2 linked regions of the Neodiprion lecontei genome follow. The protein of the gene in region 2 purifies or fractionates together with the protein of the main gene of each other region. This does not show direct contact. Links are inferred from orthologs where the notes say so. Each region holds a gene or a part of one and is shown on either strand. Other genes may lie near its edges. The genes, in order: histone H2A and DNA repair protein complementing XP-C cells homolog.

What was found.
Region 1: the proteins of DNA repair protein complementing XP-C cells homolog (region 2) and histone H2A purify together in Homo sapiens (affinity purification with mass spectrometry; 3 studies listed by BioGRID and IntAct, counting the BioPlex papers as one, with this or other methods). This does not show direct contact. The link is inferred for Neodiprion lecontei from reciprocal best matches to the Homo sapiens genes XPC and H2AX.

The regions. Positions count from the first base shown.
Region 1 is NC_060262.1:40,431,082-40,440,985, forward strand, and holds histone H2A, read right to left. Parts: upstream 5,890-9,904; 5' UTR 5,752-5,889; coding exon 5,730-5,751; intron 5,644-5,729; coding exon 5,436-5,643; intron 4,821-5,435; coding exon 4,640-4,820; 3' UTR 4,269-4,639; downstream 1-4,268. Other genes in the region: ribonuclease Oy, read left to right, coding at 188-722, 955-1,122; UBX domain-containing protein 1, read right to left, coding at 1,694-1,746, 1,823-2,003, 2,124-2,355, 2,563-2,814, 2,995-3,156, 3,216-3,269, 3,419-3,474; uncharacterized protein LOC107223647, read right to left, coding at 7,951-8,150, 8,310-8,699, 8,941-9,147, 9,367-9,904. UniProt on the Homo sapiens protein: Variant histone H2A which replaces conventional H2A in a subset of nucleosomes. Nucleosomes wrap and compact DNA into chromatin, limiting DNA accessibility to the cellular machineries which require DNA as a template.
Region 2 is NC_060265.1:3,465,809-3,479,447, reverse strand, and holds DNA repair protein complementing XP-C cells homolog, read right to left. Parts: upstream 8,856-13,639; 5' UTR 8,621-8,855; coding exon 6,887-8,620; intron 6,809-6,886; coding exon 6,603-6,808; intron 6,514-6,602; coding exon 6,252-6,513; intron 6,137-6,251; coding exon 5,968-6,136; intron 5,853-5,967; coding exon 5,467-5,852; 3' UTR 3,267-5,466; downstream 1-3,266. Other genes in the region: lysoplasmalogenase-like protein TMEM86A, read left to right, coding at 1,025-1,188, 1,280-1,473, 1,712-1,827, 1,987-2,097, 2,195-2,290. UniProt on the Homo sapiens protein: Involved in global genome nucleotide excision repair (GG-NER) by acting as damage sensing and DNA-binding factor component of the XPC complex. Has only a low DNA repair activity by itself which is stimulated by RAD23B and RAD23A.

The sequences.
Region 1 (9,904 bases), on a different chromosome or scaffold from region 2:
ATGTGGTTTAAGTAACATTCCAAATAGTGATAGTTTTTAGTTTCCTTAATTAGATTCTCATCACAAAAAAAAATTCAGTTTGTAATGTAAGTTTACAGATACAAGAATCACAATTACCTGATAGCCACTCAAACAGCGAAAAAACGTTTTTTTTTTTGTGGTAATTACAAACTGTAAATTTATTTAGTTCGCGACCTAACTCTAACCAAGCAACATCAGCAGGAGAAAATTTTGATGTTATCGTTTTCACTCAACATTGGCCAGAGACAGTTTGCTCCCAGTGGAAAGAAAAGGTTCCATCTCATCGTTGCTTTTTACCAAGGCAAGAGGAGTGGACAATCCATGGAATTTGGCCTACTCAGTTCCACAAAATTGGCCCACTTTTTTGCAATAAGACACAGGGTTTTAATGCGTCTACTTTAATCCCAATAATTCATCAGTTGGATGAGAAATGGATAAACATTGAAGATGGAACACCACACTTTTCATTCTGGAAACATGAGTGGGACAAACATGGTACCTGTGCATCCGTCCTTGATCCTTTGAATACAGAATTGAAATATTTTCAAAAAGGATTGGATCTGTTGAAAGAATATGACATGACTCATGTGCTTGCCAAGGCAGGAATATTCGTTGGTCAAGCTTATGCCGTAGAGCAAATCATTAGTGGTGTGGAAAAGATTTTAGGAAAAACTATTGAGGTCGAGTGTATTAAAAATCCGGTGAGACTTTCTTTTTAATATTAATTTCATTCAATGTTTTGTACCATCGTTGATATTTTAAGTTATCGTCAGATTATGCAACAATTTTCTGTTTTTAAATATTTAAGTTTCTTTTTGACAGAGATATAATTATTGGAATACCAAAATCTCTACATCCTTACTTGACATGATAGCCGAAAATTGTGTCTGAAACGAATGTTATTTCTACATATATTATATTATTACATTGTAGAAAACGCATGAATCTTACATATTCGAAATACGGATTTGCCTGGATAAAGGCTTGAAGCTGACTGATTGTAACAACATCGTTGACTTTCCTTCAAATTGTGATCGGAAGAAGCCAGTGAATTATCCCAGTGCAGTTCCATCCAATTACAATGTTATATTAGTAAAATAGTAATCAATATGTTCAAACTAGGCAAATTGAAAATTGTATAATGTATTATGAGTGTAATTTTGTCTATTGCCATTATACAGCAACCCAGAAATATCTAGCAACTTAACTAATGTAATGTTATAATGTAACTCGAAGAAAATACGATGTTTCAGTGTCAAGTTTTGTGACAGGAAACTAGTGACTGATAAAAGCATAACTTATTTATTTTTTTTTTTCTAGAAAAATTATACATATTGGAATAAAAAAAAATGTACTGTATCTATTATATGCACTTTTTCAAGTACCCAAAGAGCTGTTTGGTGAACAGGTAATCCAAACGAGTTATCTCATGCTCATACATTATTACAAGAAATTCAAAATTGATTGATGTGCCAAGTTAAAATCCAGTTACAGAATGATTGAATGTACGTATTACAGCAACGTTACAAATAGTGGTCTATGAATGGTATGAATAACAATTTTATAGTATTAAAGTGCTTTAATTTACATTATTTTATGTAGTTAGTATTAATGTTTGTCAAATTGTAATCGCATTACGCAGTTTATAATGCCATTAAAACACTAATTTCTGCTACTGTAATTCCGTTTTCTTCTGTACTATCACAACAGCTGTCGGTACCAAGCCTAAAAATAATTCAATACATAATTGGTAACAATTGACAAAACGTACTACTGGCTTCCCATACAAAGATTCACTTACCTAAAATGTCCAATGGTTTTTCGTAATCGTCCTCTGTGAAAATTTTCCGAGGAAATGTAGTCATTAAATTAAACAACCCCGAACCATCAGTTCTATTCATTTCAATATACAATCGTACAGCAGAAAGCTGTTCCTTGGATCCAAAGGTCTGTGTTAATGCCTGACCATTTGTTAGTCTGATCTAAAATACATAATTCAAGCTGCATTTTAATCAGTATCGTGTTTCATAAATAACACATGATGTTATTTAATATACTTGTAGTTTCAAACAAGCCAAAGAGAGAATCAGTGTATCAATCACCTGCAATTTTGTTTCGCTATAATTTTTTTTTGGACCCGTTGATACGACGGTTGGCGCAGCAATCGAAGCTACAGGGGAAAGTGTAACACGTCCAGCGTCAGAGGCGGCTCTAGCACGTCTTGCTGCTTTGTCAGCTTCGATTTGCTCTCTTACTCTCTGCTTTGCTAATTTCTCCTCTTCTTTTTCCCTTTTCCGTTGCTCTAATAATTTCTTCATTTCCAAGTCTTCAAGCCTATGAAATAATAAAGTACCATCACATAAATTAACAATACAACGTTGATGAAATTCCAAGCTAATTAAATGCAATTAAATCCAATTCAAGTCGATAATAACGAGCGTTTTTCTATTAAGACCAAAGTCATTAGGATCAATTTCATCTCTCTTATATCAAATGAGCAACAGTTCTTTAACCTACAATAAATAAACTGAAGATACTTACTTTTTCTTGGCTTCGACCATCTCTTTGCCTGAGCGTATCCTCAATTTCTCCTTTTCAAATGCTTCTTTTTTCTCCAGTTCCTCTCGCTCTTTTCTCTTTTGTCTCATTTTTTCTTCTAATAACCTCAATTGCTCTTTCTTCTCCTCTTCCGTCAGTGGCTTCTTCTCTTCCGTGCTTTCAGAGAAACTGTCATGTCCGGACTTTGTGGCATGAAATTCCACCTCTAAATTAGATTTGAATAGTTTCCCACATCTGTGAAAAAATTCCTTTGCATGTTCATTACGTACAAAGTGACCTGAAGGGCCATTGATCGAAGGAACTCTTTTCTAATTAATCTTTTGTATCATGCATTCTTGAAAAGATGAGGAGATAAAAACTAATCAGACATTATAATGCACGAAAATAACAATTTATGCAACCATTAATACTCACACATCGCATTTAATGGATTTGGCAGTTGCTGCTGATTCATCTTCGTTACTTGCATCAGCGATATTTTCCTGTGGAGATTCAGTTGCTGGTACGGGTATACTGACAGGATTTTCGGCCATAAGCCCAGGGGAAGGTTCAGCTTCATCGGAATGAGCAAGGAGCCTAAAAAAATTTGCAATATTTAATCAGTAGGATGAAGACAAATTGTTTTTCATTCGTACCATTCCATAGCCGGCTCGACACCTTTGTTTCCGGTAATTTGTAGGGCTCGCTCGCTGAAAAACAAATACAGAAAACACACGAATGAAAAATACAGTGATTATTTAACTGAGGGTGGTAGGGTATTTAAAATCTGCAAAAATGATTCCGGCTTTTTCGGAAGAGGTTAGGAATCACAAGATGATTATTTTCTGTCAATACTCACGCTTTTGCCTGGCTGAAACCCATATCTACGAGCATCGAAACGTCTGACGAAGACATCGCTGAATTTTTAAGTGTACAATTAGTGGCTAGATATAATATTACTAACGGACGCTGAGTTAAAAATCATATGTCATGTCGCACGAACACTTTGACATACAGCTACAAGCCACGAACTATTAAAATGGTCTGCTAGCGGAGGCGGAAGTAGCTTATAGGCATAAAGCGTGCTCATGATTGTACCAATGAAGAATTGTACTTTGGTTTCGATATTTTCGTCTGAAGAATATTGCGGACTGTTATTAGTTATTCCTGGTATTACAAACTTCACGTACTACACGATTGTGAACGGTTTCTACAGTCCCGACCAAAAGTTACAATTTTGGAGCCTTGAGTCAACAGAGAAACGTTTTGATCAATTTGAATGAATGGTCGATTCGAAGCTTGAATCTGATTGTAAATTAATTCTTTATTCGGTTCTTTGAAAATTTATGATGATCAAACCTGATATCCCTGGACTTAAAAAATTGTGTGCTGCATACGTCAAATAATAAATACGAGAGTATAAGCTGCATGCTTGTTGATGTTATAATCAAAACACTCTTTCTTGAATATAGTCTACACTCTAAATTATCAGAAATAATTGGGCTACTGAAATTGCGGTAAGATGAAAAAGTGACGAGACAAACCAAAAACACTACACAATTATTGAAACCGCTTGTCATTTTTCGTTCGGGTTATTTTTCCATGTCAAGATATCGCTTATGTATGTACAAATAGGTACAATTTTCAAGAAATGTTCCCACCAATTCGTCATACTGTGGGATCAGTTATCAGGTCAATAAAAGTTAGTATTATTATGATAACGCTGCAGGCCATTTATTGTTTGTCACCTTTGATCTACTCACTTATCAAAATTGAAACAAAAAAATTCGCGAAATAATACAATGGCAAAAATTAATACATAAATATAAAAAACAGTTTGAAAAACGAAGGATGCCGTCAAACATAAGCATCATACAATGAATCATACACATAACGCGATTCATTTATTCAATACTGAAAAAAAAGAAACAAAATAAATTCAACTTGCAATTTTGTTCAGTGCTTTTAAACATCTGATCTTGCCAATTTTTAGTGAATGTAAATAAATGTGTTGCATTGAATTGTCAGGTTTTATAAGGTCAAATGTAAGTTCGTGCTCGCACTAATGTAATATCTTAATTTAGTATTCTTGAGAGGCCTTGTCTCCCTTGCCAGATCCACTGCTACTTCCAGTCTTTTTAGGCAATAAAACTGCCTGGATGTTGGGCAGAACACCACCCTGTGCAATAGTCACTCCAGAAAGCAGTTTGTTCAATTCTTCATCATTACGAATGGCTAGTTGGAGGTGACGAGGGATTATTCTGTAAAATAAAACATAAATATGGTCAATAAATCCAATTTCCTGAAGTAAATGTTGTACGTCTGACTGCAGGATTTTTCAAATATCTGTGTGTACGCATAGTTCAGTTACATGAAATCGGGTACTGTTTTCCCAAATCGAGAATTCCATTTAGAAAACGTGTAGATTGTCATAGTGATTTAGGAGAAGGGGGAGAGTTTGGTTGGTGCAAAAACAAGTTTCTTTGCATTAGGTTGAAATGGAAGTGTTCGGCCATGTTCACGTATAAATACATTCATACATACACCAATTTTATCACACGAATTATTACACACTGTACTGTTATTAGGATTAATTTCAAAGCAGTTCTTCATGTGTACAATGTATGTTCAATGTATCTTCATAGGAGACAAATGATTGTACCGAAACAGAGGAAAAACACGGCACGCGATAATAACGACGCAAATTCTGCTCGATTCCGTAAGAAATGTTAAACCTACTTTGGTTGAGATTTATCATATTATACAGTGAAGAAATTGTAGTGAATAAGAGAAAATGAAGGAGTAATCTGTGGGTTGTCTATACTTCTGAACTATGGTATTGTGGTTGTGAAAATAAGGGTGCTGATAGGACTAACCTCGTCTTCTTGTTGTCTCTCGCAGCATTTCCAGCCAACTCGAGAACTTCGGCGGCCAAATATTCCATGACCGCAGCTAGGTAAACCGGAGCACCGGCTCCGACACGTTCGGCATAGTTTCCTTTCCTCAGGAGCCGGTGAATACGACCTACGGGAAATTGAAGCCCAGCCCTGCTGCTGCGAGTCTTCGCCTTTCCCTTGGTCTTGCCTTTAAAAATCAATAAGAAACTTTTAATGCGTCCTGTTGTTCGAGAATCTGGCTAATTATTTCTCGGAAGCTTTGATACTACTCACCTCCTTTACCACGACCGGACATATTTCGAGATTGATTCTACACGGATAGAAAGTCTAATCACAACTGCAACCTCTTCCTACCGTTACCGAACAGCAAATGATGTCGGATGTCACGTATTTTGGCGCCCACTGTCTTGATAGCGCTCGTTTGCGCGGGAAAATTTTTTGACACGGAAGGCTGTGGAATTCGTATTATTTCATTCCGACAGATGGCAGCACCATACTTTGAAAACAAAAAAGCATGAGAAGCGTTACCTCATTGGTTAGTATCTAGAATTAAACCAATCGAACGTCGTCCTTGTCCTCTCCTATTTTTATGAGACTCGCAAATAAAACGCACCATTTGAAAAAGCTTTCTTGTATTTATGGATACATATAATTTATGCTTCAATTATGGCAATTGGAAGATTTAAAAACAAAAAAACTGACTACATAAAGCGTCGACCGAAAATATACATATTATGTACGGTGAATTACCTTCTCGACTGATTTCTTTTCATAAGAATTTATAAGATAATTTCAAAGACTACTTTAATATTTTACAATTAACTTTTAATAAAAGGGAGATAAAGGAGGCAGACAAAGTGTTTTCGAACAGTTTACTTTTAGGCTCTTGTTCTGGCCAGAAAGGTACCTGCAGATTTCTACAGATGCCTTAATATTACACAATACATAAAAATAATGATATTTACAAATGTAGGCACTCAATGAACAAAACGTTGAAAACACAGACAAAATTGATTTGCGGGTTATAACAGGGAAGGCGGGTAGATATGATGCTACATTATACGGAGCAAGGAGATAATCAATTTAGAGAGCACAATGAGAGATTTGAATCAGTACGCCAAATTATTCGAAAATGTGAAAACAAGAAAGAAAGAACTAAATAGGACCCAGGTGAAGTATAATAATTACGGTCTGCCAAGAAATGGATGATATTAAATAAAAATGTTATTTCACGTTTACTCATATTTTTTCAAGGTCCGTTCAATACATGGAATGTTAAAGGTTTAGCGGGTAACAAGCATTTTCATGGAATGTACTCACGCAATTTTGTGGTAAAAGTCAAGTCATTTTTTTTTATAACCTTGTTTTTTGTTAAGTACCTCAACATCGTTTTTCACTTCTTTGAAATTCACTGGCCATTGCAGACATTATTATTATTATTGTAAGTATTCAACATAGAATTGAAGGAGGTTCTTATTATTCTTATTCAATGGTTGAGTCTACAGTTTATACAAATTGCAATACATGTGTTCGAAAAATTATGCGAATTCCAAATAATTATTAGCGTTTCAATTATTACATACGGAAAATATTGAACCACAAAAAGTGCCCGTTTCGAGAAGACACTGGTGTACTTACAACAAATTAGAAGTATCTTTCAGAGGTTCATCAAATGGCGAATGTTCGATAAACAATTTTACTTCAATATAAAAGATATTCGCATTGTTTAAAAATCAATTATCTTCGATTTTGCAGTTATTAAATTGAGATCCTTCTCTTCTATGTTTATCTTATCAATACACATGCTACTAATCAGTAAACGTGCGAATCATATGATAGAATATCCTTTTCAATATTTAAATACAAGTCCACATTACAGAGAATAAAATAAGTTACATGAGTTCTCTCTATATTCAATAAAATATTATACAAATTATAATTATTTATCTTATACCTTGGGTTAAAGAGCCGTCAGTAAAAATTATGAAACACTAAAACTTCCTTATTAATTGAAGAGAAATTTGTATTTTGATTCGTTTTCTTTACACTTCATTTTTACACGTTCGTATCATATTGATATGATTACTTACAACACTTTAAACACTAGTCCCCTCTGATTTCATACACAATATTCAACATGTCTTTCAAATAGCATATTCTAATCAGACTCTTTTTACGAGTTGTTTTAGAAATGGTTAAGACACGTTTAAACTCCATGTAACAATCGCTATGTAAAAGAATGCCTAAATATCGAATAACTAAAATTTCTGGATTTAGAAAAACTACCAGTATAGCTTTAATTCATTACAAATAAAGTAAACTGTGATAAAAGACTAAAAAAATGCTGTACACTTGGTCAATGTAATCTTACATTTACTTATCTAAAATTGTTAAAAAATTGTTTGTCGTTTCAACTATTTAGATACCAACGGCTCTCTTAACCCGTCGATAATATCACAGATGAATGAGTTTCCGTGTTGTGCGTCGCGTATTGCTACCTCAGGGTTCTCAGAAGAGCGTTAATTCTTTCTATCTGCTCGCTGAGGCATCGCCTCTCTGTCTCAAGGGCGGAGCAATTGGACAATAAATCGTATCTTCTTCTTTCTAGTTGGATTGCCTCTGATCTCAGATTATTTGTCCGTGCTGCTAGTTTCGCCGTTTGCGCAGCTAAGACTGTTCTCTCCAACGATTTTTCTATAAAAAAAAAAATACAAAGAAAATAGAATCAATTAGAAAAACATATTGGCCCACGTTGACGATATCGTATGCATTTTTCACATAATGGATTTCAATTATTCACATTCGCAATGATTCTAAAATTTAAGCTGATTGTTATAGATAATAATTACGGACCTTTTGAATATTCCATGTATGCGATCATGGTATCTTCGATACCATCCCACCTCGATTTATCCTTGTCATCTTTATCATCAATCGAATCGTCAGCCTGACAAATCTCTGGTATTTTGCAATGTTGCTTAACGCCATTCTCTCCAGGTGTGGGTAGGACAGAGTGGAACCTTGGTACTATATTTGGAACCAAAGGTGGTAACGGTGGTGGTCGCTCTGGTAAATGTTTTGATTTCACTCTGTCCAGTAGTCGCATTTTCTGCGGTGGTCTTGGTAACAATGGTGGATTTCTTGAATAAACTCTGGCAATTCTTTCACAGTAAGCTGTCACTGTGTTGACACTTTTCCGTTTTTTCCGATCCTTGAGAATGTATTGCCAGCTTACTTCTGCTTCTGTAATGTTTTACACATTGTTGTTAATGCAAAAGAAACAAAGTAATCCAGATTCTTAATCATATTCTTTATTACTTTGTTGCAGATCCGACTGTGATTTTCCATTCAAAGGAAAGTATTTAATTTCTTACTCTTCACCAATGACGCTAATGTGTATGATGATAGTGCTCAAGGGAATAATAAACTATCATCACATGTTCTTCCGTAAATACAAAAAAAAAAAAGATGACAAGTATATTACCGTCTCTCTTGGTTGGAGGCATAACATCAAGCCCGAGAATATTGAGGAACCCAGCTTTGCCTACAAAATCGGGAGTTTGAAGAAGCACATCAGGATGTTCCCGTGGAATTGGTAATAGAGATTCAAGTATAGGTTCAGAGTCCAATGGTGGAACAGGTGGCTCTGGATTTAGCTTATATCGTTTTTCCACCTTGGAAAGTTCCATTTCTGTAAAGAAATTTTGAAAATCCACATTCTGTTATTCTCTGATTACTTTTCGGTTGTCTTGTAATTGAAATGATTGCAGACAAATGATACGTTTCAAGTTCAAGGTATCAAAACAAAATTCTAAAATTCGTTCATTTTTTAACAAGTTTTTAGACGCAAAGTTAGCCTTTGAAATCCAATTATTACAGATTATTTTATTCCATTGAGATACTATCTTACCATTTCTAGTGCTAAGAGTGGTCAGTCCGAACATGGCGAGGAAAGAAAGTTTCTTGGCAGGACATTGAAGCTTAGAAGGCGGCCCTTTGGTTATCCACAGATCCGAATCTTTGACATCTTCTTCACTCTCTGATTCAGAGCTTACACTGGCTCCGATGGTTTTCTCCCGTTTACGTTTCCTTCGTTTTTCAGCAAGGTCCAGCATCGATGTTAACTCTTTCGGTTTCTCGGGCATCAGGAATGATTTATCGTTCACAGTTTCGTGCTTGACTAAGGACTTGCTGAGATCAGGCACATTTAACACAGCCGATTCACACTTCACGGAAATCTCAGTCACATTATTGCACTTGTCGGTAAAGCAAAATGCAGATTTGAGTTCATTATTTGAGAAATTCAATAACTTTTCTTGATATTTTGGTATTTGCAAAAGAACATTTGAGACATTCTGGCAGGTGCGCAAAACTTCCTCCGATTTAATACTCTGCATCAATTGAGTAGTACCAATTGGTTTTTGCGCGACATCACTTAAACTGAACTT
Region 2 (13,639 bases):
TTGTATACTTATCCAAAAATAACATTGGCACGTGTAGGAAGTATATCTCCAAATTTTTCGTCTCCATTTTCCCCCGGTATTACATTTGCCGAAATAGTACACTGATGCCTATCCTATATAATCGAACCCTGCACCTCACGTAATTCATATATTAATTAATGTCTGAATCACAAAATTAATACATCAATTTTAATGTTTAGTTATTGCGTAAATTTATACATAGACTCAATATTTGCACGTGAAAATTCACGGTAATTATAATCGCACATTGTACGTGCACGCGACGATTAATTTGTTTACAAAAGTAATTGGCGTAAAACGTTGTGAAATTTCACGCGGTTGTTGTTGTGAATTTCAAAAAATTTCAGCTCTCGGATAATATTGCGCACATCTTTGGATGAAAATATACCGAATTAACACACATCTTTGACTTAGAGAATATTAATACTAATTTGATTTATGCTTTCGCGCGCTCTTGAATATCACGTGCGCGATCATCCGCGTTTATAACGACGTTGCAGTTATAAGTAACATCAGCGTAACGAAACATCGGGGAAAAATAGCTATTTCGCAAGCTTATTGTTAGAATAACCGCACTAGTCGAGTTTGCAAATTGAAATTAGTATTCCCTTCAATTTCAGCCAATTCAGAAATTTCTAAACAACGGTTCTGACCATTATGATGTATCTATAATTGTCAAACAACTTATATGCCATCGCGAATTTAAAATACTAATATACTCAAGATCATTGCAAAGTTACATTTAAATAATATTAATTAATTTTCTATTTATTGTTTAAGAAATTGATTTTTTTTCTTCAAAATCAGCGTATTTTTCGCAATGTGAACATAATTCTACAAAGTAAATAGCAATCAGTTTGTCGGAAAATTTTACCCTTATTTAATATATTTGCCAATTATCTGATATGCAGTATATTTCGAGAAAATCGTAAAAAACGAAAATCAAGACTATAGTGTAGAAATAGGCGAATTCGTTAAACAAACATTTTTACATTTGTTTCAGATAAAAAGTGTTGGTCCGAAATTAGTACCATTTTTCAAAAGTGTATCTGTCTACTTTGTTCTATTAGCAGAGCAGCCCTCCCTGCTAACTGCCTGTTTTAAATGTTTGCCGATCATCAGTCTTATCGTTTTTATTCTTCTCCATGGAATTAACTTGTCTGAAGAGTGAGTTTGATACAGCAGTAAAATGCAAAAAATATGTCATTTTTGCAACTGTGAAACGTTGAATAACTTTTCATTCTTTCTCGCTGATCAGATATGCATTTCCTCGTCGGATAGTGACTGGCCTTTTATTCAGCTGTATAGGTGATGCCCTGCTGGTATGGCCAGCCTGCTTTGTTCCAGGAATGGGAATGTTTGCTATTGCTCAAGTCATTTATATTAAAGCCTTTGGCTTCGTTCCATTGAATGGAGTGTTAGGAGCAATATTATATGCCCTATGTGCAGTTGGTAAGTATATCAGTTGTGAGATTATGAATTTCCTATTACTCATAGTCTGACTTTAAATGAAGTGCTTAATGCACAAAAACTTTGCTGATATTATATTTCAAATATTTTCTCATCTCAACAGAATATGTTACCCACTGGCATAATTGATCGATCCATATAAAAGACATTGCCGACTTTCAATTTCCAATTTGTAAAACAAAGTGTGATCCAACATTTTTACCAAAGTTTATAATTACAGCTATTTTTCTTTTGATGCCTGGTCTAAATGGTGTCTTGATGATTGGGGTTCCGTTGTATATAATACTTTTAACAACAATGGCATGGCGAGCTATAGCAAGGGTGCAATTTTTTGAGGTAAATTGATTCTGCATTAACTGTATTAACACTGACATCATTAGAGTGTTTGCTAATTAGCTGTACGTTTTCAACGCTTTATATTCAACGTAGTTCCAACATTAATAGGCTCTTCCATGCCTTTATAACAAGGATGTTGTCCTTTTGTTTCATCAACAGGAATTATGGACCTGGTCAAAAATGTGTAGTTGTGCCGGTGGTATATGCTTCGTTATATCAGATGCTTTGATTGGTTTCCACTACTTTCACAGTCCTATATCGTATGCTCAGGTACCAAAAAATAAGGAAATGGTTGCTGTTACGTAACTCTCAAGTTTGCACGGTTCGTATCAACAGAAATATGTACATACAAGCATATATGTTTCAGGTATTTATAATGATTACCTATTACGCAGCTCAGCTTGGAATAGCTTTGAGCGCTGTGGATTCAAGAGACAATATTAAACCGCATAAGCAGCGGTGAGGTTTTTCTTGGGTAATATATTAGTTGCTACAGTCGTTGAAGTGTTGACTGATTCTTACAATGGCAGGAAATCAATTATATTCGTGATCTAGAAACGAATAGAGGGTAACAAGGGAATTTCGTATTCTGGAATCTAGGAGGTGCATTATAATTACGGGATATGGATATCAACAGTATAATTAGTTTAGCACGTTTTTAGGATTAGGTTAAATACGAGTCTTGTTTGCTGGTCGTATTTAGGTCAATTTAACTTTACAACTTGAAATTCTGTATTAGGAAATTAGTATACTGGGTGGTTCGTATTTCGTACGAAGCTATGTAATTTTGCGAATACCGTTGTTTGAGTTAAAAGTGTAACAAAGAATAGGCATGAGTTTTCGTTGTTATGTATCAATGAAATTATTAGTCAACAAAGAGATATAGGTGGGAATATTCTGTTTCCAAGCGCCAGCTCTGTGATATATGGTAGAAACGTAATTCTGAGATAACTGAAACATTTCTTTTCGTTGGTATTTATTTATCTTTTCCAATTGGAAATTTACGACTGTGGTTTAAGCTTCTTAGCTGATGTAAAATTATTTAAATTACTTCTTATTAATGAATTGTGAAACCGAAGGCATTTCAATCAAACACATTACTGGTCGTGGCTCATGTAATGTTCGTGGTACTAGAGGTGGCTTATGTAACGTCGCAGTGGTTCAATTCAATTGAACAACCTTAAACCGTTTGCTACCCGTCATATAAATATGCAATCATGTTACTTTATGATTTTACAAGCAAATGGTGTACTAAGACTGATAATGAACTGTTCAGGGTCGAAATGATATAGCATTTAAGTGGCCGCATGGATCATAAGTTGAGGTGTTCGGAGTAGCGTTCAGTTATCGGATCTAGTGATGCCTTCAATATGGAACTCGACAATTTTACCTAAATGGTGATATTTCGGCACATGTATTAGGGTATTCCAAAACAAATCTATGTTACGTTTCTTTTTTTTTTTTTTACCTCCAGCTCTACAAGACTGTTGGAGTAAGTTCTACTTATCATTGATCGATATTACACTGTCTTACGATTTTACTACAAACGAGTCAAATTTCGCGATGGTGTCACCTTAGTAAGGATTGGAAGCTTTGTTTGGATCAAATATATCCTTGTTGCTTTGATTTATGAAATACATATGATTAAATCGAGCGGCTATTGTATTAGATAAACTATTGTGTTACTTTGATGTAGATGGGATAGAACTCATTACAGTATAAAGTTATGTTTCAATTTAAAAAAGTAAACCATAAATATTGTTCTTCATAAGCAATTAGAGGACAAGGCAACTTTCATGATTGGAACTCTGACGGTTATTCCATTTTCTATTGAATAAGATAATTTACCAAAAGCGGATTCTACTTAGAATGTATTAAATGAGCTGTTTGTTAGCCAGAATCTCAAACTTGTCACTAAAATATTTTTCTATCTCTAGTAATATAGATCTCTAAACTTAATATGTTATATAAAATTTAACACATAAATTTTACTATACATCAACTCAATATTCAAACTCGAAATTATTATTATATGAGAAAATATTGAAAGAAATAGTCGATTTGGTCTCCCTAAAATAGAAACGCGTACTTGTTCAATGCATGCTCAGTACTGTGCATATACATAGATTATCAAACAGTTTGACAATGTAGTTTAAACTTGAAATTCATAAATTCATGATTAGAGTCAAGAAGCGTGAAAGCTCATTGAAATATTTATTCGGAATCCGAATTCCGAGTATGTTAATAAAACATTTATGCTTTCAGAACTGTCAGTTATTCGAAATAGCTGTGAAATAATTCAATAAGTCTTTATATCAAGCATTAATAACAATACACACAATCAGTGTCGACGGTTAAATTATGCTAGTAAGAATTGATGGTATTTGGGTTGTTACTGGCTTCAAAAACGTGCTGTATTAAACAATTTACTTTATGTGATACATGAACGCGATTCGCAAGCGTTACTCGATTAGATGATATTTTACTACTTACAAGTTTATTAGGCTGTGTAAACGATTGATGACGTATTGCAGTTAGTCTCGTTATTATATTAATTAAATATAGAATGTGTAAGTATGTGTATTTGTATAGGGAAATATGAATAATTGTTATTAACTATTCTAGACCGAATATATAAGTGTAATAAAATGTACACTCTTTAGTCTGATGTTTTCCATTTCTATTACGGTATTTATTTAAAACATCATTTCTATTCACGTGGAAAAATTTCCACCGTGCCTGCATTATTTTCAGCCCAAAAATGACATTTGTTTTCTGAATTACCATGTGTCACAATACGTGTTAAAGTTATAAATATACTACTTAGTAATGAGGCAAGAGCGGTTTTTTAAAGCTATTCTTGTCGTTGGGTAATTTTTATGGAGACGTGGTAATATGAGAAATATATGAGGTGTTAGTGAATTACATGTATTTATTTGTTTAATACCAAGTACATGCACACAGCATGTCAACTGTATCAATGATGAATTCAGGAAAGATTGTACAACGGACAAAATATTACTTAATTTCGCATAATTGTCTTAGAATGAAAGTGTTGAGCATAATTCTAAGAAAGATATAGCCGTTATATTGTAAAATCTGTTTGAAATTCAAGCTAAAAACAAATCAGAAGAATACCAGTTGATATTATTGTGCTTATATAACTACATAACTGGAACAGGCAGCACTCGAATAATTGGCATTCAATAGTGATTGATGCTTGCGGTGTATCTTCAAACCACATTGGTGAAAAGAACAAGAAAACATTCGTGGCGCATGGTTCTTCAATACCCAGCTATTTCTATACATACTTGATAACTGTGTTTTACAAACTATGAGTTATAGAAGACGTTGAGGTAAAAAAAAAAGACCATTTTTAATGATATTTACAGACTATGACAAGGTGAGGGTAAAAAAATAGAAAGATCAAAACATATAAGGGCCACAATATCGAACTTTTAAAGTTTTTAAAGTTTAATTTATAGAATTTAACAATATAGAATGCCGAAGTACGGAAAAGTAATTTGTGACTTTTAAAAATACTTTGGCGGTAAAGGTGTGGAGGAAAATAATTGAATTTTTCTCGTAATCTTTGAAAAGTGCCGCAACGATCAACGAGCTGACACGTTTACTTATGATCTATTTTTTTTTGTCAACCTTTGTTTTTTTCCCACCAACTTTGGTTTGTTTTACCCGTTTGTTCGTTTGCTTATTGGATGTGCTGGATTTTTCTTTTTCTTCGTCAGCATTAAAATCATATTTAGCTGTTAGTCGTTCTCTGATGAAAACAGCTTTAATCAACTTCCTCCAATTTCCGTAAACCCTCTTCTCGTATTTCTCTCTGGCACGCTTATCTGCCTCTGCTTGTTCCACTTCCCAAGCCTCCCGTAAAACATCTTCAAACTCTTCACAAACAATAAATCCATCAAAAGCAGGCAGCGCCCCATGTCCTCCGAAATTGAAGCCCACCACAGCTGGAGCACAATCAATGTCCAACTTTCTTGCAATGCGGTTCAGTGCTGGAACTGGATAGAAAAAAAATACACATCTGACGTTATTCCTGTACAGGTATTATTTTTATACCAACAGTAGCCAATGACATACAATACGGATGTTGTTCTATATTAATAGATTACTCACGCTGAATGTGAACAGTTCCTTTAGGCAACATACACTGTTTGAATAAATCCACATTTCCGTATTCATTCCGAGGCACAATGCCATCCTTGGCTTCTGGTGGAACGTACGGATCTGTCTGCCATTTTCCAAATACTTCCAGAGACTCATCCTTCAGCCTGGCACCTGAAAGCTTTCCATCAACACCGTGTGGTCATTGTACAAGAAATCCATCGGGATGTGTAGGCATGATTATGCAAATTGCAATCAATAAGATAGCGCAATTGTAATAACTGAACATGATGTACCTTATCATATTTTGGTCTTGCTTTAACAACTTTGTAGCAATTCTCTCCTGGTTTCACTACCCTAGCGCTTTTGATCCACGTTTCGCGGGAGCGCAATGTGTGAACACAATGACGAGAGTATATAGGCTCGCCACGAACGTAGCCAAGTGGAACGACATCCGGCGGGTAAAAGGCTTCAAATTTGAGAAGATGTCTGGGCAGAACGTACAGAGGATGACCTTTGCACTCCGAAACTGTCTTTGGTAGGGGTTGTTCCAGTTCCCTGTAAGAAACAATGATTTTTCATTTATTTCTATGGAACATTAATCAGATAAGTATCATACATATCAAAAAACAGATACAGTTCATTACTTTTGCTTGAGCATCTCATCCTCTGCTTTTGTTAAGGCTGTTTCAGGTTCTTTCCAAGGAGTGTGAGCTTCCAGCCACCACTTTTCATCGATCCGTTGTTTGCGGGTCACGGTCAGCCAGTGGGGACAATATCGGCGTGTTACATCCTTGATTCGACCCTCAGAATTCAAGGCCATGACGTACAGCACTGGATCCGTAGCATTTTTCTACAAGTATCAAAGCGGTGTCTTACTGTTACCTATTTGCAGATTCATCATTTATCAGACCAAGAGAATGATATTTACGTATAGCTCGGCAATGCAATGAATTTTTGCATCCGGTACGCTGACGCTTATCCAATTTTCCTCGCATTCAACGTAAACTTCTGCCCACATATCCCTTGTGTTTTTCACTTTCTTTGGCTTCTCATTATTCTCTTCATCATCTTCATCAGACGATATCAGCTTCCTGGCGGTTGAGCTTCTCCTTGAACCTGTATTTGACTGTTTTTTAATTTTAGATACAGTGTTTTTATTCTGACTGCGAGAACGCTGCTTGGAAGCTGATGCTTTGTGCTTTGACCTGTGAGTTTTTTCAAATGGTTCATCATCCGTATCCTCCTCGCCATCCTCATTCTCCTCCTTATCATCATCCATTTTGTATTCATCATCATCATCATCATCGTCATCCGTATCCTCATCTTTTGGCCAATGCTTGACAGCTGTTTTTGCCCGCGACCTTAAACTTCTTCCACCTTTTTCAGTCACCTCTTTGTCGTTTTTCACTTTATCAGAGTTCCTTTTGCCCTTCTTGTCAACGGGAATCGCGGCAGCCACCGTTCTTGATCTCAATTTTTTAGCTGGTGGTTTAACATCCTCCGCAGAATCTGAATTCGTACTTTTTTTTCTTTTTAGAATTTCAGCTGCCCTTCTCCTGGCCTCAGTGGCTTTGCGAAGCCTGGCTGATATATTTCCTTTTTCCGTTTCTTGTCCAGGAATTTTCGTTTCTTGTGATATTTTTGGGCTTCTGGTGGCCGTTTCTTTTTTCGGTTCCTTTTTTACCTTTGTATCTTTCACTTTGGAAGACTCTGGGGCGATGAGCTGCTCTTTTGTTACTTTAAGAGCCGGGGGTTGCAGGGATATAACCAAGCGACAGGTCAGCCCCAAGGCTCTTAGCGTTGCTACGTAGAGTAATACGAGTTCTTGATAATTGTGGATCTCTTTGTCTTTGAGTCTCCTCAATAAATTCAGCGTCGTAATGCCGGACTCTGGCTTGCCCGTAGGAAACGTAAACACACCTTGAAACCATTTGGTGATTTTTTCAAGATAAGACAGATCAACCCTGCCTTTTGGGTAGCAGTTTTTTGGTGCCAATTTTAGTGCAGCTGCAAGTAATATCGGATTGTTAATTTGCTTGTTTACGTAAAAACCGTGCGCCATCCAACAGAGGAGTCCTACTTTGTGTATCAATACTTGATTGGACCTAAGCTGTTGATTCAACTTCTTTTTCAACAAATCTTCAAGCGTTTCCTGTTTCTTCTTCTTCCTCTGATTGAAAATCAGTTTCGAATCGACCAGGGTTATTTTTACCCCTTCTTTTGGAATGCTGTAGTTAGACGGAGCGGAGTCTTCAGCTGGTCCTTCTTCGTCCGGCTCGTCCTGATCTTGCTCCGCAGTTGAAGCTGTCGCTCCAGTTTCTCCCAAGAGTAGAAGATCAGCTATTTCGTTGGTGAGTTCTTTTTTCACTGGTTTGGTATTTTCAGGTTTTTCCGCGCTGCTCTGATCAGATTGAATCGCTTGACTTTTCTTCGTCGCCTCAAGGTTCTTGAGGACCTGAGCCATGAGGTCATCATTGTTATCGTGGGATTCATTTTCGTAATCAAAATCCGACTCCTCCGAACTTTCGAGCTTCTTTGGTACGCTCGCTGTTTTTCGAGTAGGTTTTGTGAAAAACGGTGATATTGACTTCAGCTTATCCGGGGCTACCATAAACTCGTTACTACTGTCCGAGCTCTCGCTGTCAGATTCATCAGCGTTCATCTTTCTCACTTCAGCAACACCCTTAATAACGAATTTCAAACAAAGACTAACCTCGAAACCCGACACTCACAGTCCACGTGACCGCCATAATACGCTCGTCGTTTGTTCGCGCGCGCGCGCGCAAAAATGTCAAAGGTTCTCCAGGTATAAAAGTGATTGCATAATATTATACATCACAGTACGGGGAAGGGATATTCGCTGGGTTCGCAACTTGTAAAACTGCTGGAACGTTGAATTATAATCAGCCTAAACTGGTTAGCGTTTCTCCGAAAAACTCTGATGAGACCGGTTTGACCCTGAGAAATTTTCGTCTCTCTCTCTCTCTCACTTTCTCTCTACTAATCACGTTTCAACATCTAACCAATAACAACCTTGTTGTATTGTTGTGGATAACACTGATCTGGTATACGGGTGATCGGTGGTGGAGCAGGTTTCTTACCGACGACGACATGAGAAATTGAGCGACTGTTGCTTGGCGAGCAAGCGAAAAGTTTAGTTTACACGTGTTTTAACAGGTATCACTACTGGTATGATGTTGATAATACAGCATCACGGCTCCACGTGGTGTTATCATGAATTTTGTGTTGGATGAAACGCGTTACAGATATCGTTCGTAATTTTCTATCATGCATCATGAGTGTGAAATGGGCATTTTAGATTCCGAATTTATTAGTTTCAGATAAATATGCATGAATTTTCCCGTTTTTATTCATTGTTTTATAATACACGGAATAATTAAAGCTCGGCCAAAATCACACACAATTAATCGATTTCAACGAATGCAATATGAAATCGATATTTCTTTTCAACACGATTTCTAATCATAAATCTGTCTGCGTTTATCCTGCAATTATAGCAAAACATTTTTTAGTATATATCAATTAAAAAATATAACTGATCGGGTGCATAAGTGATTCCGTATATTGGAAAGATTTCATTGTGCAGGGGGGAGAAAGAATCATTCTAACACTTTAATTATTTCAAGCTCATGTTTTGAACTTTGAATTAGCTGTTAATTTGCCACGGATTACTGAAAGTTAAAGTGCTCTAAATAATATATTGAACAATTCCACCGCGCTTAATGCATTATAAATTTCGACTTTACAGATACTATACTGGACTCCATACGAGATGATGATAGTTATTTGTGTGGAACCCTCAGATGAGCCGGTGACGTATACGCGAAAGTGGCAGGGCATTGATGGATTAGTTACACCTGTACCGCAGTATGACTCTACGCTGATGCTACTTTGCATAATACATATAGCTACACATCCGCGGTGTTTGGGAGACGCGGTTCCAACAAGGAAATGCCTCACAGTTTGCAACACGCATTACCGGGATTAAACAGTGATAGATCTGCAGGAGTAATAGGGATCGAGGACTTATTTCCGAGGTATCGAAGGAGCATAATATCCTTGTGTAGGCGAGGCTTGACTGAGCTCCAGAAGAACGGAAGCCAATCTGGGAACGGCTGTGCCAGCTGAAACGCTGCAGAGATGCTTCGGGCGTCGCGAGGCCCTGAGAATAGACGTCGCGACGCCCCCCCACCCCCCACCCCGAACACCGCCCAACCACCCCCCGGCACCCTCAGCCATCCTCAGCTCACCCTCCTATTGCCTCCTGCAGCTAAACTGATTATAGTCGAGCGCACGGCCCCTCCGTCTGCTTAATTAAATTAGAAACTTACAATCATCTAATGTTATGTGGACCTTGCCGCTTACTTTTGTAAGTACAACTGCAGGGCGAATTTACACCACCGAGTGGGTGGTCGAGGCTCTGTGTAGGTGTTCTTGCTTCTTTTAATATCGCAATGCTGTTCCGTAACGGTATGTACCTACTTAACCGTGAATCACTTTTCAGCGTAATTTATACATAATAATACATAGAATATGTACAATGCAAGGCATGCGTAACTTAATCGTTGATTGATTATTAGTTTTTTCATGCACAAGCAATTATTAGTAGACATTTGTGTAATTTGATTTTCATTAGACGATTATGTCAGAGAATATTTCGATGGTAAAATTGACTCCCAGCGATTTTTCATGCGACACGTTTAAAAATTTATCCTCACACTGTGCGCGATGCCACGGTCGTTTGATTGACTGCATCCGTTGATTAACGAACATTATTGGCATATACAGATGCATCTGCATTGGTGGGAATATCATTCAGGTAGCGCTGTTCCGTTGCGAGCTTTTATTTCACCTCTTGTTGCTCGTGTTTGCTTTCAGGCCGGCAATGCGGCTCACAATCAGAATTGAAATACGTTTCTGCGAACGGTGCTTATATTTTATACAATACACGTGTGCGTAGGCATGTGCGTATATATGTAGGGGTGTATGTAAATGGATTTTTATATCCCCCAACTTTCAGGTAATTAAAAATTTCTTTATTTCGTCGATTAAAACGTTACATAACGGTGCGTTTGTGCAATCCAATAACAATATTGTGTTTTCACAATTACTAATTACATTTTGCATTATCTAATTGTTTCAGTAGAATATAACAATGTTATAACCGAGTCATCCGGAATCATGATTATTTAACCGTCTTAATATTAACAACAAACATCCTGTGTGGACTGGAAACCGGGATGAATAAAAAAAAAAAACCAACTCAACCGTGCTTGGAACGAAGTAAATTGTAGACGTATAGCTCGATGAAGATGAATGTATTTCCCGAGTAGAAATCCGAACGGCGTCCAGAAATATTAAATTGTATTCCTACGGGGCGTCAAGTGGAGGGTGGAGAGCAGGAGGCGAGGCACCTAACCAATATTTAATCAACTTTGGAGGAGAATATTATTCTCCGGACAAATCAAGGACATATGTAGCAGACCGCCGGCGTCCCCTTTTCCGTTATTTCGGCGTGCATGTGCGAGCGCGTCTGAACGGCAGAAACGGAGCAATAGCAGCTAGACAAGTGTAGAGAATTTTCGTGCGGGGAACCCCGGCCGTGGCGTGCGGCGTGTGCCGCGGATCCCTAGGGAGGGGATTCCCTCCCCGGGTTACGAGGACTCGGGCAAGCGCAGGATACACGCGGGAGCGGCGATCGACTCGTGAGAACAAGTGCAATACAAGTGTCGCACCGTTCATCCCTTGGGATAATACCGAAGGTAGAAGAGCCAAGGGAGGGGGCGGGGGGGGCGAGGAGCGTGTTTCCGTCTACCTTGTATACGTGCAGTAAAAAATTTTACGCTTTTATTTATCGTCAATTTATCGTCGAGCAAACAACTAAAGCGAGGAAAATTTCATTACAGAGACCTCGCGCATCTTATACGGATGGATATATACTACGGAACAATGAAAGCCTCGCCTCGTATAGTTTATCCTGCAGAAGATACACGATCAGGTATTTGTCCGTTGAAGATAGGCATACGTATGGACCTATGTAGGTGTACGGTTTGGATCGAAACAACGCCGCTCTTCGTGAACAAAAGTTTAGCTCAATTATTGACCGTATCGAACGTCGAATCTCCCGGGCGTACCGGGAGATCTTGCCCAATTGGTTCTGTACAATTTCACCCCCCAGTCGCAACATCGGATCGTTCGAAACTACCTCTTGCAGGTCAACGGTACGGTTCACTGATTTTTAGTACTAAATGTATTGTACGTGGAACGGTACATGCAGTTATTTATCGAAAGTTTATGCACTGTGCACGACCGGTTTTATCACAGGGTTTCTATAAAACTCGGATCAAATTTCGCCGAGACGGAAATATAATAAGAACCAGTAAAAAGGAGGCGCAAGAAAATTATTTTATGCTTTTATTTTCCGACTGAATCAAAGAAGAAGAAAAAGAGAAAGAAGAAGTAAAAGAATAAGAAAAAGGCGGCAGGACTCGGGAGTGGATCGCATATAAATCATTCAACTCAGTCTTCAAATTCTGTCAATTTGTTAGAGTAGCTCTGGCATTCTGGGAAAAGAATGAACTTGGGAAATCGATACACATATCCCTCGAAACGGTGCCGGAGCGTGTGTAGATATGCATTCAAACTACTCGTAGTCCGAATACGCGAAACAAATTTTAGACATTATTCAGTGCATTTTATTAATTCTTTTCCGCACAACACGGAACCTTTCACGGTTATACTATACTTCGGTGAAAGTATAATGTACGTCAGTGATTTCGACAAATCGTCAAAAACCGAGGCTTCGTTAACACGTTTATTTATCGCATACGCATTGAGATGTGAAAGTTGTCGGATCTCTTACAGCCAGCAGTGTTCGATTAAAAAAAACCAATTCGGGTTCTCCCACGGAGCTTGAATTTCGCGACAATACCTACAGATGTAAACAAATTGTGTCACTAATTTACAATTTCCTATACGACCACGGAATCGCGCAAATGACGAAGGACCGCACGTGTAAAAAAAGTACAGAGTGACCGTAGTGTCGAATGATCGAAACTTAAAACAGAGAAAGTTCAGCCAAGTTTAAAAATTCTGAATCTTAATGACCGGATTGTACATGCCGAGGTAAAGTGGCCTAAGTAGAATAACGACCGAATGCAGAAAGACTAGATAAGCGGAATCGTTCCGGTGGTTCAATACAAAGCAAAGGTTTTGGGTACCTGGCCCAGGGGTCACTTACTACAATTGATCGTAAAATCAAGGGTTGTTTGTTCAAAACATTAGCCGGCTTCGCCGTCGGATGATAGCGTTCATTTTACCATGATGGTGGTCGCGCACCTCCGGAGAAGCCTCGCCGCGTCGGCTCGCTCCTCCATCACTCCGTTTGTCGCTACGCGGAGGTCCTCCCGAGGGTGGCGGCATCCCCCAAATTCCCACCCCCGTTCCTGCAACGGGGGTTGGTGGGTGGAGGCGGGAAACGGTGGGCGGTCGGTGCCCGCTTCCCCCGGGGGTGAGAAGCCCGAGGGAGGGAGCGGAATGGTCGTTCGTCGTAGGTGCGGGGGTGGGAGCACCCCGGGAGCAGCGAATCCGGGGGCGTCGAGGGCCGCCGAAGCCATGCCGCTTCCACGTCGAAAGCCACGCCCTTGCGCACCCTTTACGA